Callithrix jacchus: one gene and its partner. The protein of the gene in region 1 purifies or fractionates together with the protein of each later gene. This does not show direct contact. Links are inferred from orthologs where the notes say so. Each region holds a gene or a part of one and is shown on either strand. Other genes may lie near its edges.

Evidence for each region.
Region 2: the proteins of UQCRB (region 1) and COX6B1 purify together in Homo sapiens (affinity purification with mass spectrometry; 3 studies listed by BioGRID and IntAct, counting the BioPlex papers as one, with this or other methods). This does not show direct contact. The link is inferred for Callithrix jacchus from reciprocal best matches to the Homo sapiens genes UQCRB and COX6B1.

Annotation. Positions count from the first base shown.
Region 1 is NC_133517.1:31,005,205-31,009,624, reverse strand, and holds the start of UQCRB (cytochrome b-c1 complex subunit 7), read right to left. Parts: upstream 2,865-4,420; 5' UTR 2,851-2,864; coding exon 2,832-2,850; intron 97-2,831; coding exon 25-96; intron 1-24. UniProt on the Homo sapiens protein: Component of the ubiquinol-cytochrome c oxidoreductase, a multisubunit transmembrane complex that is part of the mitochondrial electron transport chain which drives oxidative phosphorylation.
Region 2 is NC_133523.1:31,848,967-31,853,551, forward strand, and holds the start of COX6B1 (cytochrome c oxidase subunit 6B1), read left to right. Parts: upstream 1-1,481; 5' UTR 1,482-1,559; intron 1,560-4,089; 5' UTR 4,090-4,100; coding exon 4,101-4,206; intron 4,207-4,585. UniProt on the Homo sapiens protein: Component of the cytochrome c oxidase, the last enzyme in the mitochondrial electron transport chain which drives oxidative phosphorylation.

The DNA of each region.
Region 1 (4,420 bases):
AGAAAAGAAAGTACAGCTGCTTACCCAGTTTATTGAATCCTGCAGCATTGTAATACCATTTTCGCATAATCTCCAGCAACCTGCTTGATGCTGAAACTGATCATTGTCACACTGTTAGTTGCCAGAATTAAACTATATGAACACTTTGATAGGGAAGCAACCAGTACTCATAGTTATCTTGCTAATACAAACATAGAAATTTCCTTTTAAATGTATATACTCTATATAGGAAGAATTTAATTAAAAAAGAATTTGATTTAAAAGAAAAAAGTTTACACTCTATACACTGCTGATAAAAAAAATGCTTATTTTACTTATGAACAAAAGTGGCTGCAGGAAAAAAAATTAGGTGGCAAGTCATGGAAGAAAAGGTTAAACTCAAACACTGAATGTACAAAAGATCTACAGGTACATCACGTGCCCTCTTATAGCCCCATTACCTTCAAAATTGAAGGGGTGGGAGATAGGAATAGGACTTGGATGTTTCTATTATTTGTAGTTTCATAAATAGATCACCGGAAATAATTGTAAAGCTTTCCATTTCAAAGGAGTTGGAGTTGTATGAAAAGAGACTGAGATTTCAGCAGAGGCTGGCAGGCCTAAATGACCCCCATCCTCTAAAATTTTTACTCAACATTAGTTATTTCACTTGGCCACACTCTCTAAACATTTATGTATTTTGGGGAGAATTTTGATACCATTAGTCATTTAAACATTAATGTGGATTAGTAAAAGAAGTCCATCTTCCTCCTCTTAAGCAGCTAAGTTCTCCCCAAGGGAATGGATACTGAAAACGGATGAGGAGAAATAAATAATTTTAAATCTCTTTGGGGAGCAGGGATGAGCCTGATGAAGTAACCCAGCAGGGTCCAAGGACAGCATGACAGTACCTGACATTTTAGGAGAGACATTTTAGAAAGGGGGAGGTAGCTGGGGAGAAATGCCAAATGTGGGTGAAGGGGAGAAGAAAAGAAAGCACACTGCCATGTGTGTACCTACGCAACTGTCTTGCATGCTCTGCTCATGTACCCCAAAACCTATAATCCAATAAAAAATTTAAAAAAAAAAGAAAAAAAAAAAAAGAAAGGGGGAGGTAGAACAAGTATAATTTTCTTTTAAAATTTTGTCTAGGGCTAGCCCCTTACCAAAAAGGAAAGCAAACTCTCACTCAACTGTCCTTGCCTGCACACTCAGTGCACTACGGATTACATGGCTTCAGTAAATCTCCTTGGAAATTAAGAGTCATGTATAAAACTGCTGCTAGAAAAGTAAGTATGAGTCAACAATCTACAGACATACTTGTGGAAGACAGATTATTATTATTGTTATTATTTTGAGATGGAGTTTCACTCTGTCACCCAGGCTGGAGTGCAGTGGAGTGATCTTGACTCAAGCTCCGCCTCCCAGGTTCAAGCGATTCTCTAGCCTCAGCCTCCTGAGTAGCTGAGACTATCGGTGCCCGCACCACGCCTAACTAATTTTTGTATTTTCAGTAGAGATGGGGTTTCACCAGACTGGCCAGGCTGGTCTCGAACTCCTGACCTCGTGATCCACCTGCCTCGATCTCCCAAAGTGCTGGGATTACAGGTGTGAGCTACCACGCCTGGCTGGAAGACAGATTATTTTTAAACATCTACCAGTGACTATGATAATAATTAATATTCACTAAGCACTTACTGTGTGCCAAGCACTTTCCTATTTGCTTTACCAACATTAGCTGATTTATTTACATGTCTGTTATTACAGAAGGGGAAGGAGGCTTACAGAAGTGATCCCACCAAAGGTCAGAAGAGTTAGCTAATGGGAGTTGAGATCTGGTCTATATGGTTCCCAAACACAGCACAGAAGCAGTGTTTTGAATTTAGTAAGACTCCCACAATAGCTGCCAAATTCATAAAATAATTACTAAAAAGTCTCCCCCCATCCCTAAAAAGCTCAACGCCAATTAGGTTAACGGATTTTTCTGGCAACTTGCTGTTTCCTAACAGCTTCACAGGTGCTGGAGAAGGGGAGGAAAAGATCAGTATTTTTTTAAAAACTGCTCTAATTTGTACCGCCAGTGGGCAGAGATTAGCAAAAACAAAAACAAAAACAAAAAACCCAGGGAAAACCCAACTTAAGGTTCACTTTGTTTTAAGTATTCCAGTAATATCTGCATTCTATTCCACAATAAATGCATTTGAACCTCCAATAAGTAAATTTCTCCAAATCTACTGATTAAGCTGACGTTCCAGATAATCCAAGGTTAACCTGAAGCGTTGCTTGTATCCCCTGCTCAACAGCCTCTAATTCGCAATTTGAGAAGCGCGAGGGGTGCAATGAAGTTTCTAATTCTACTTCCTTGGGTTATGTTGCCTCAGTTATCTCATCAGCGTAGAAAGGAAATTAATATCTCCCTCATCGCACTGGCAGGAGAATTTATTCAGCCAATGCACACGACAGAGCGATTAGGTCACAGAAAGCACTGAGCTCATTCTGGTTCAAAGTCATCGACTAGTTACCCCCTTGTGCCCTTGAACTTTTCTAAGGCCGACGGGAAGGAATGCCGAACACCTGCAGCTGGAACTCCAGGGCTGTCAGAGCCACCGCGGGCACCTCCACAAACAGCGGGTTAATATCCCAACTCTACAGGCAAGCCCGGCCTGGGGACAGCAAACGAATGGGGAGGCAAGTACTTTCGGCTGAACTGAAGCCACCACTTTCCCTTCCGCGACAAACCTGGCCATTTACAAAGAAGAGAGAAAACGGAGCGAACTGCTGCGAAAATAAAAGGTGTAGCGCGACTATGCCCGCCAAGGAAGACCCCCTCCCACCCCCCGCCAATCACTTACCAGCCGGCCGGCCAGCCATTATGACCAGAAAGCGAAGCGTCGCCTTCTGGGTAAGTCAAAGAGGACAGGCTGGGCGCAGTGCGCAGGCGCGTTACGTCGCGTCGCGAATCGATGAAGGCCGCTCGCACAGGCGCAGTTCTGACGGCTGTCGGTGAGCACCTGCGGGCGTACATCTCCGCCAGGGTGAGGCCAATAGAGTGGGCGGGGCATTTGGCGTGCTCTGTTCTAAGAAGCATTGGTTGCGGTATGTTGGGAAGAACACTAGGACAGGAATTAGGAGACCGAGGCTTAAGGCTAGGTTCTGTTACTTAATGTCCATAGCTATGAGAGCGTGGGCGGTATTAATTGAGCTCTTTGTGCCAGGCAGGAAGCAAGGGCATCATCTTATTTAGTTTTCTATTGAAGGACTGATGAATGTGCCATCCAAAATATATGGAATTGGTACATTGATTATTTCGAGTTGAAAATGTTGGAGAAATTGTAGTTTCACTAAGTGTTTGATGACCCATCTCTTCCTGCATGCAGCAAGCCATAAAGCTTCCTCCAGTACTCCTTTGGAGTACTCGTCCCTTACCAGGGGGAGAAAATATCACCCATCACCGGAGACTGGAAACTGGGGGCTGCTTTGGACCTGAATATACTTTCCGAAGTAACCCTTGTCTTCCACTGAGTTGACACCCCACCACACACACGTTTCTCCTAATGACTCCACAAGAAATTTACTGCCCCTAGCCACATCCCCTTTCTTCTCAGATTTGCCATATAAAGTATACTCTTCTAAAAAGTATAAAGGCATCTTGCATTGGCCATTTCACTCTCTTGTGAAGATCTCCGTGTACATGTAAAACTAATTTGGAGGCTTTTCTCTTGTTAATCTACCTTGTGTCAATTTGGTTCCTAGATCCAACCAAAGAGCTCACATAAGAGAAGAGGGGAAAGAGGGTTGGAGGTGATCTCTCACATCCTACACTATCACTTAATTCTGAAAGTACTGTAATTATCTCATTGTAGAGAGGAGAAAGCTGAGGCTCAGAAAGGTTGAGTAACTTGTCCAAGAGCACACAGCTAGAAGAGTCCAGGTTCTCCTTCCAGAGTCTGAGAATCCAGACACAAATTTGGGGGCTACTTAATTCTAGGGCCATATGTTACACTACTAATCCAGGAGAGACACCGAGCTTCTCAGGCCTTGGGTTTCTCCAGCTGAAGATCTACATCTAGCTATATTAGCGGAAGGTTAGGTCAAAGAAGTTTGTTTTTGTCACCTCTTTTTTTGTTGTTATTCAGCCTCTGTCAGTCAGGCTGAATGGCACAATCTCGGCTCACTGCAATCTCTGTCTCCTGAGTTCAAACTATTTGTGCCTCAGCCTCCTGAGCAGCTGGGACTACAGGTGCACATGCCACCATGCCTACTAATTCTTGTATTTTTAGCAGAGATGGCGTTTCACCGTGTTGACCAGGCTGAACAAACTGAGTATCAAACTCTTGACCTCAAGTGATCCACCCACCTTGTCCTCCCAAAATGCTGGATTACAGGCATGAGCCACCATGACCAGCAGAAGAGATTTTTTGAAGATTAAATCTAAGATGTA
Region 2 (4,585 bases), on another chromosome or scaffold:
GGGAGGTTGAAGCAGCACAATGGCTTGAGGCCAGGAGTTGTAGACAAGCCTGAGCAACATGGAAAAACCCTGTCTCTACTAAAAATACAAAACTTAGCTGGGTGTGGTGGCGCATGACTATAATCCCAGTTACTGGGGAGACCAAAGCAGGAGAATCGCTTGAACCTAGAAGGTGGAGGTTGTAGTGAGCCGAGATTGTGCCACTGCACTCCAGCCTGGGCAACAGAGCGAGATTCAGTCCAAAAAGAAAGAAAGAAAATAAAGGAAAGAAGAGAAAGAAGAAAAAAGGAAGAAAGGGAGGAAGAAAAGAAAGAAAGAAAAAATTATGTAGATCATTTATTAGGACATTGGCTTTAGACTAAGAGTCAGACCAGTATTCCTCTGGCGGGGTGGGCATATTGCAGAAGGCAGCTGGAAGCCAGGAGGCCAGGGAGTGTGCTACTGCAACAGTCCAGTCTGAAGGTGATGGTGGCTTGAACCAAATGGGCTAGAGGAAGATATGGATATACTTGCAGGAAAAACCAACAGGATTTCTAGGTCAGCTATCCGGTATGAGAAGGATCAGAGAGTCAAGGACTATTCTGTGGCCAGAAGCACAGAGTTAGTCATTTTCCCAAAGGGAACCATTTCTGCCAGACCCTTCGTAGATCCAAGCTTTTTTTTTGGGGGGGGGGAGACAGGCTGGGGATTTCCAGCTGTCTGGAATCCCCTCCCACATAGTAGGAGCTCTCTTTCCCCCTCCTGGATTTCCCTTCCACACTCTTCGTGGAAGTTTTCTCTCTTCTTTTTTCTCTTTTCTCTCCTTGAATAAAATCACCTTTCTGCAACAACAACAAAAGAGACAGGCTGGTCAGGAGTTCGAGACCAGCTGGACCCACGTGGTGAAACCCCGTCTCTACTAAAAAATACAAAAATTAGCCGAGCGTGGTGGTGGGCACCTGTAGTCCCAGCTATTCGGGAGGCTGAGGTGGAGAATCGCTTGAAGCCGGGAGGCGGAGGTTGCAGTGAGCCGAGTTCGCACCACTGCCCTCCAGCCTGGGCCACAGACTAAGACCCTGTCATAAAATTAAAAAAAAAAAAAAAAAGAATTCCGAGTCACGGCACCAAAAAAAAAGAAATTTTTTAAAAAGAAAAGAAGTACCTGACGCAGAAAAGCGTTCAATAAATAATTATTGCATGAATTAAAGTACTTTTGCTGAGACATTTTTCCCCACACCGACCCTCCAGCGCATCCCGGGATCTGCAACGCATTCTCCGAGTGAAGACCCGGAGGTGATAAACACCTGGGCGTCCGAGCCCCAGCCGCGCAAGCTCACGACTGGGCCAGGAGTGATAATAAACAAGCATTCAGCCCAATAGAAAGTCGTAGTTCTCTTGCTGGGCGTGACCTGAATGGCGTCGTTGGCCACCTCCTGGGCGGGAGCTCTAGCCGTCCGGAAGACTCCCCTATACCCCATCTCGCTCAGCTTCCGGCTGGCCTTAGTTCCGGTTCCTGTCCGACTCTGGAGTCTTTGCAGAGGGTCACATTGAGCTGCAAGGTGCATCGGGGGTGCTTTTAGGTGAGTGTGAAGGGTTCTGGAACCTGGAACCCCAGCCTAACGGGCTGAGGATCTGAACCCTAGCTTCCCCGAGAACGGGTTGAGGCTTCTGGCTGGCGGCGTCCAGCCTCCCTGGGCCCCGGGACCCTGTTGTTCTGTTCTTCGTAAGAACTAACAGTGATATAACAGGAGTTCTTCCTTGATGCAAGGCAACATCCCAAACAACTTAAATTATTCATTTAACTCTCCCACCAGAGAGTTCTAAGACAGGCCTGGGATCATCCCCTTTTGACAGTAAACAGGTTTGGAGATACCAAGGGACCTAGCCGAGCCTACACGCGACCAGGATTTGGCCCAGGAGTTTGTCCTCCAGGGTTCATCGCAAATTCAGGGGCGTGGCCTCCCGCGGCTTACCTGGGCTGCAGCCTGACTCCCTGGTGTTCTGTCAATCCTCCCTTTTGGACGTGGGAGGGGCCGCAGCGTCACCTCCGAAGCACCCTCATCCTCAGATACCGGCTCGAGATATCGCCGGTAACCATCCTTCTGATTGCATCTGTGCCCCAGCGGTGGTGTTTTACATACACCCCACCTCCCCATCGAAAGACCGTTTTAGTGCTCCAGACCCCCACCACCACTTTGCATCGCTTGAATTTGACGCTGCTCTGCAGGTTTCTGTATAGCCCCACGACTCCTGGGATTCCCTCGAATATAGACACTTTCAGGTTCCCGACGAACATTATGTGTCACTTCTTCAGAGACATTATATTAAAGATTTTTAACCCTCGGTCTGCAGAGTTGGAAGAATTCCAGGAATGTATTTGAATTGGGGTGACTGTGTGGAATTACCCCAGTATTTGAATTGGGGTGAGGGGGTGGAATTCTATCTGTGTATTAACCTTTTGAGGCAACAACCTCGTTAGTACTAGCAGCAGCTGTGATTTTGTTAGCAATCAAAACCATAGATATTTTTTTCTCCTTTTTTGAGAAGGTCTCTGTGTACCCAGGCTGGCATGCAGTGGAGAAATCTTGGCTCACCGTAACCTCTGCATCCCCGTGCAAACGATCCTACCTCAGTAGCTGGGACCACAGGCATGCGCCACCACACCTGGCTAATTTTACTATTTTTTTGTAGAGATGGGGTTTCACAAGCTGGTCTTGAACTCCTGCGCTCAAGTGATACTCCTACCTCAGCGTCCCAAAGTGTTGGGATTGTAGGTGTGAGCCACAGTGCCCCACCTAAAATCACAGATATTCTTATATCACATTATAAATGCAGATGTCACAAAATACTATATCCACTCATGGTTACTTGAGTGAGGTTGCAGGGGGTCTTGCTCTGTCACCCAGACTGGAGTGCAATGGTGTAATCTCAGCTCACTGCAACCTCCACCTCCTAGGTTCAAGCGATTTTCCTGCCTCAGCCTCCCAAATAGCTGGGATTACAGGCACCCACCACCACACCTGGCTAATTTTTGTATTTTTAGTAGAGACAGGATTTCACCATGTTGGCCGGTCTGGTCTTGAACTCTTGATCTTAGGTGATCCACCTGGTTTGGCCTCCCAAAGTGTTACGATTATAGGCATGAGCCACCGCACCTGGCCAGAATTGTATTTCTTAATGAATCCTCAGCTGGATATAACTGGTTTTCTTTGTGATACTATTCCAGTTTTTTGTTTTTTTTTTTTAACTTCTTCATGTACTCATGGAACCTATGCAATGTTGTAATACATTTAAACATATTCAGGCCAGGTTTGGTGGCTCGCGCCTGTAATCCCAGCACTTTGGGAGGCCAAGGTGGGTGGATCATCTCAGGTCAGAAGTTCGAGACCAGTCTGACCAACATGGTGAAACCTCGTCTCTACTCAAATGCAAAAAAAGTAGCTGGGTGTGGTGGTGGGCACCTGTAATCTCAGCTATTCAGGAGGCTGCGGCAACAGAATTGCTTGAACCTGGGAGGCAAAGGTTGCAGTGAGCCTAGATCGCATCACTGCACTCCAGCCTGGGCAACAGAACAAGGGTCTGTCTCAAAAAAAAAAAAAAACATATTCAGTGAGAGGTTTATGGGATTCGTGAGACCACTGAGGAGTCTGTGGCACCAAAAAGATTAAGAACCTTTGCAGTGTAGATTATGCCAAAAATGGAGGTAGCCCACCATTTATTTTTATGCCAGATAACCTTAGGAAGTCACTTAGACACCCTGTTCCTTCCTCGTCTGGGCAGTGGTGATAGTAATAGTTCCTACGTTCCTACTTTTAGAGCAGCCGTAGGAGTCAGGTGTGTAGAACAGCACCTGGCATGTAGTAAGCATTCAGTGTTAGCTCATGTTATTTGGGAACCAGGCTTGATTTTGCTGAGGAGTCGCACCCTAATGCTGCCACAACTTCCACGCACAGATGTGTGGAGCGCCCTGCCCCTCATCTCTGCATATATGTTGAGAGGCAGGAACTTGTTCACACCCCCACCATTCTTCAGTGCCTCCTCTCTTCCATTGATCCTGGGTAGTCTGACTTGCTCGGGGCCCCTGCCAACACCCACTCCTTTCATCTCCAGGATTCAGCACCATGGCAGAAGAGATGAAGGCCAAACTTAAGAACTACAAGACTGCCCCTTTTGACAGCCGCTTTCCCAACCAGAACCAGACCAGGAACTGCTGGCAGAACTACCTGGGTAAGCAGGACCTTTCCCTGGCCCCACACCTCTAGTCACTCACCTCTTGCCTCTTCCTAGGGGACCCATCCATCCCAGCATCCTCCCTTTTCTTCTGGACATCCTTCCTCTAGGGGACCCATGCTTCTTATCACTTGCTCTTCAGGTCCAGGCTTGGGTTACAAACTTTGGTTCCTGCAATGACTTTTTTTAATTTTAATTTGTTTATTATTATTATGGTTTTATTTTTGTGGTGTATTTTTTTTTTCCCCCAGAGATGGGATCTCACTCTGTCACCTAGGCTGGAGTGCAATGGCACAATCATAGCTCACTGCAGCCTAATCTCCTGGGCTCAAGAGGTTGTCCTGCCTCAGCCTCTTGAGTAGCTGGGACCACGGAC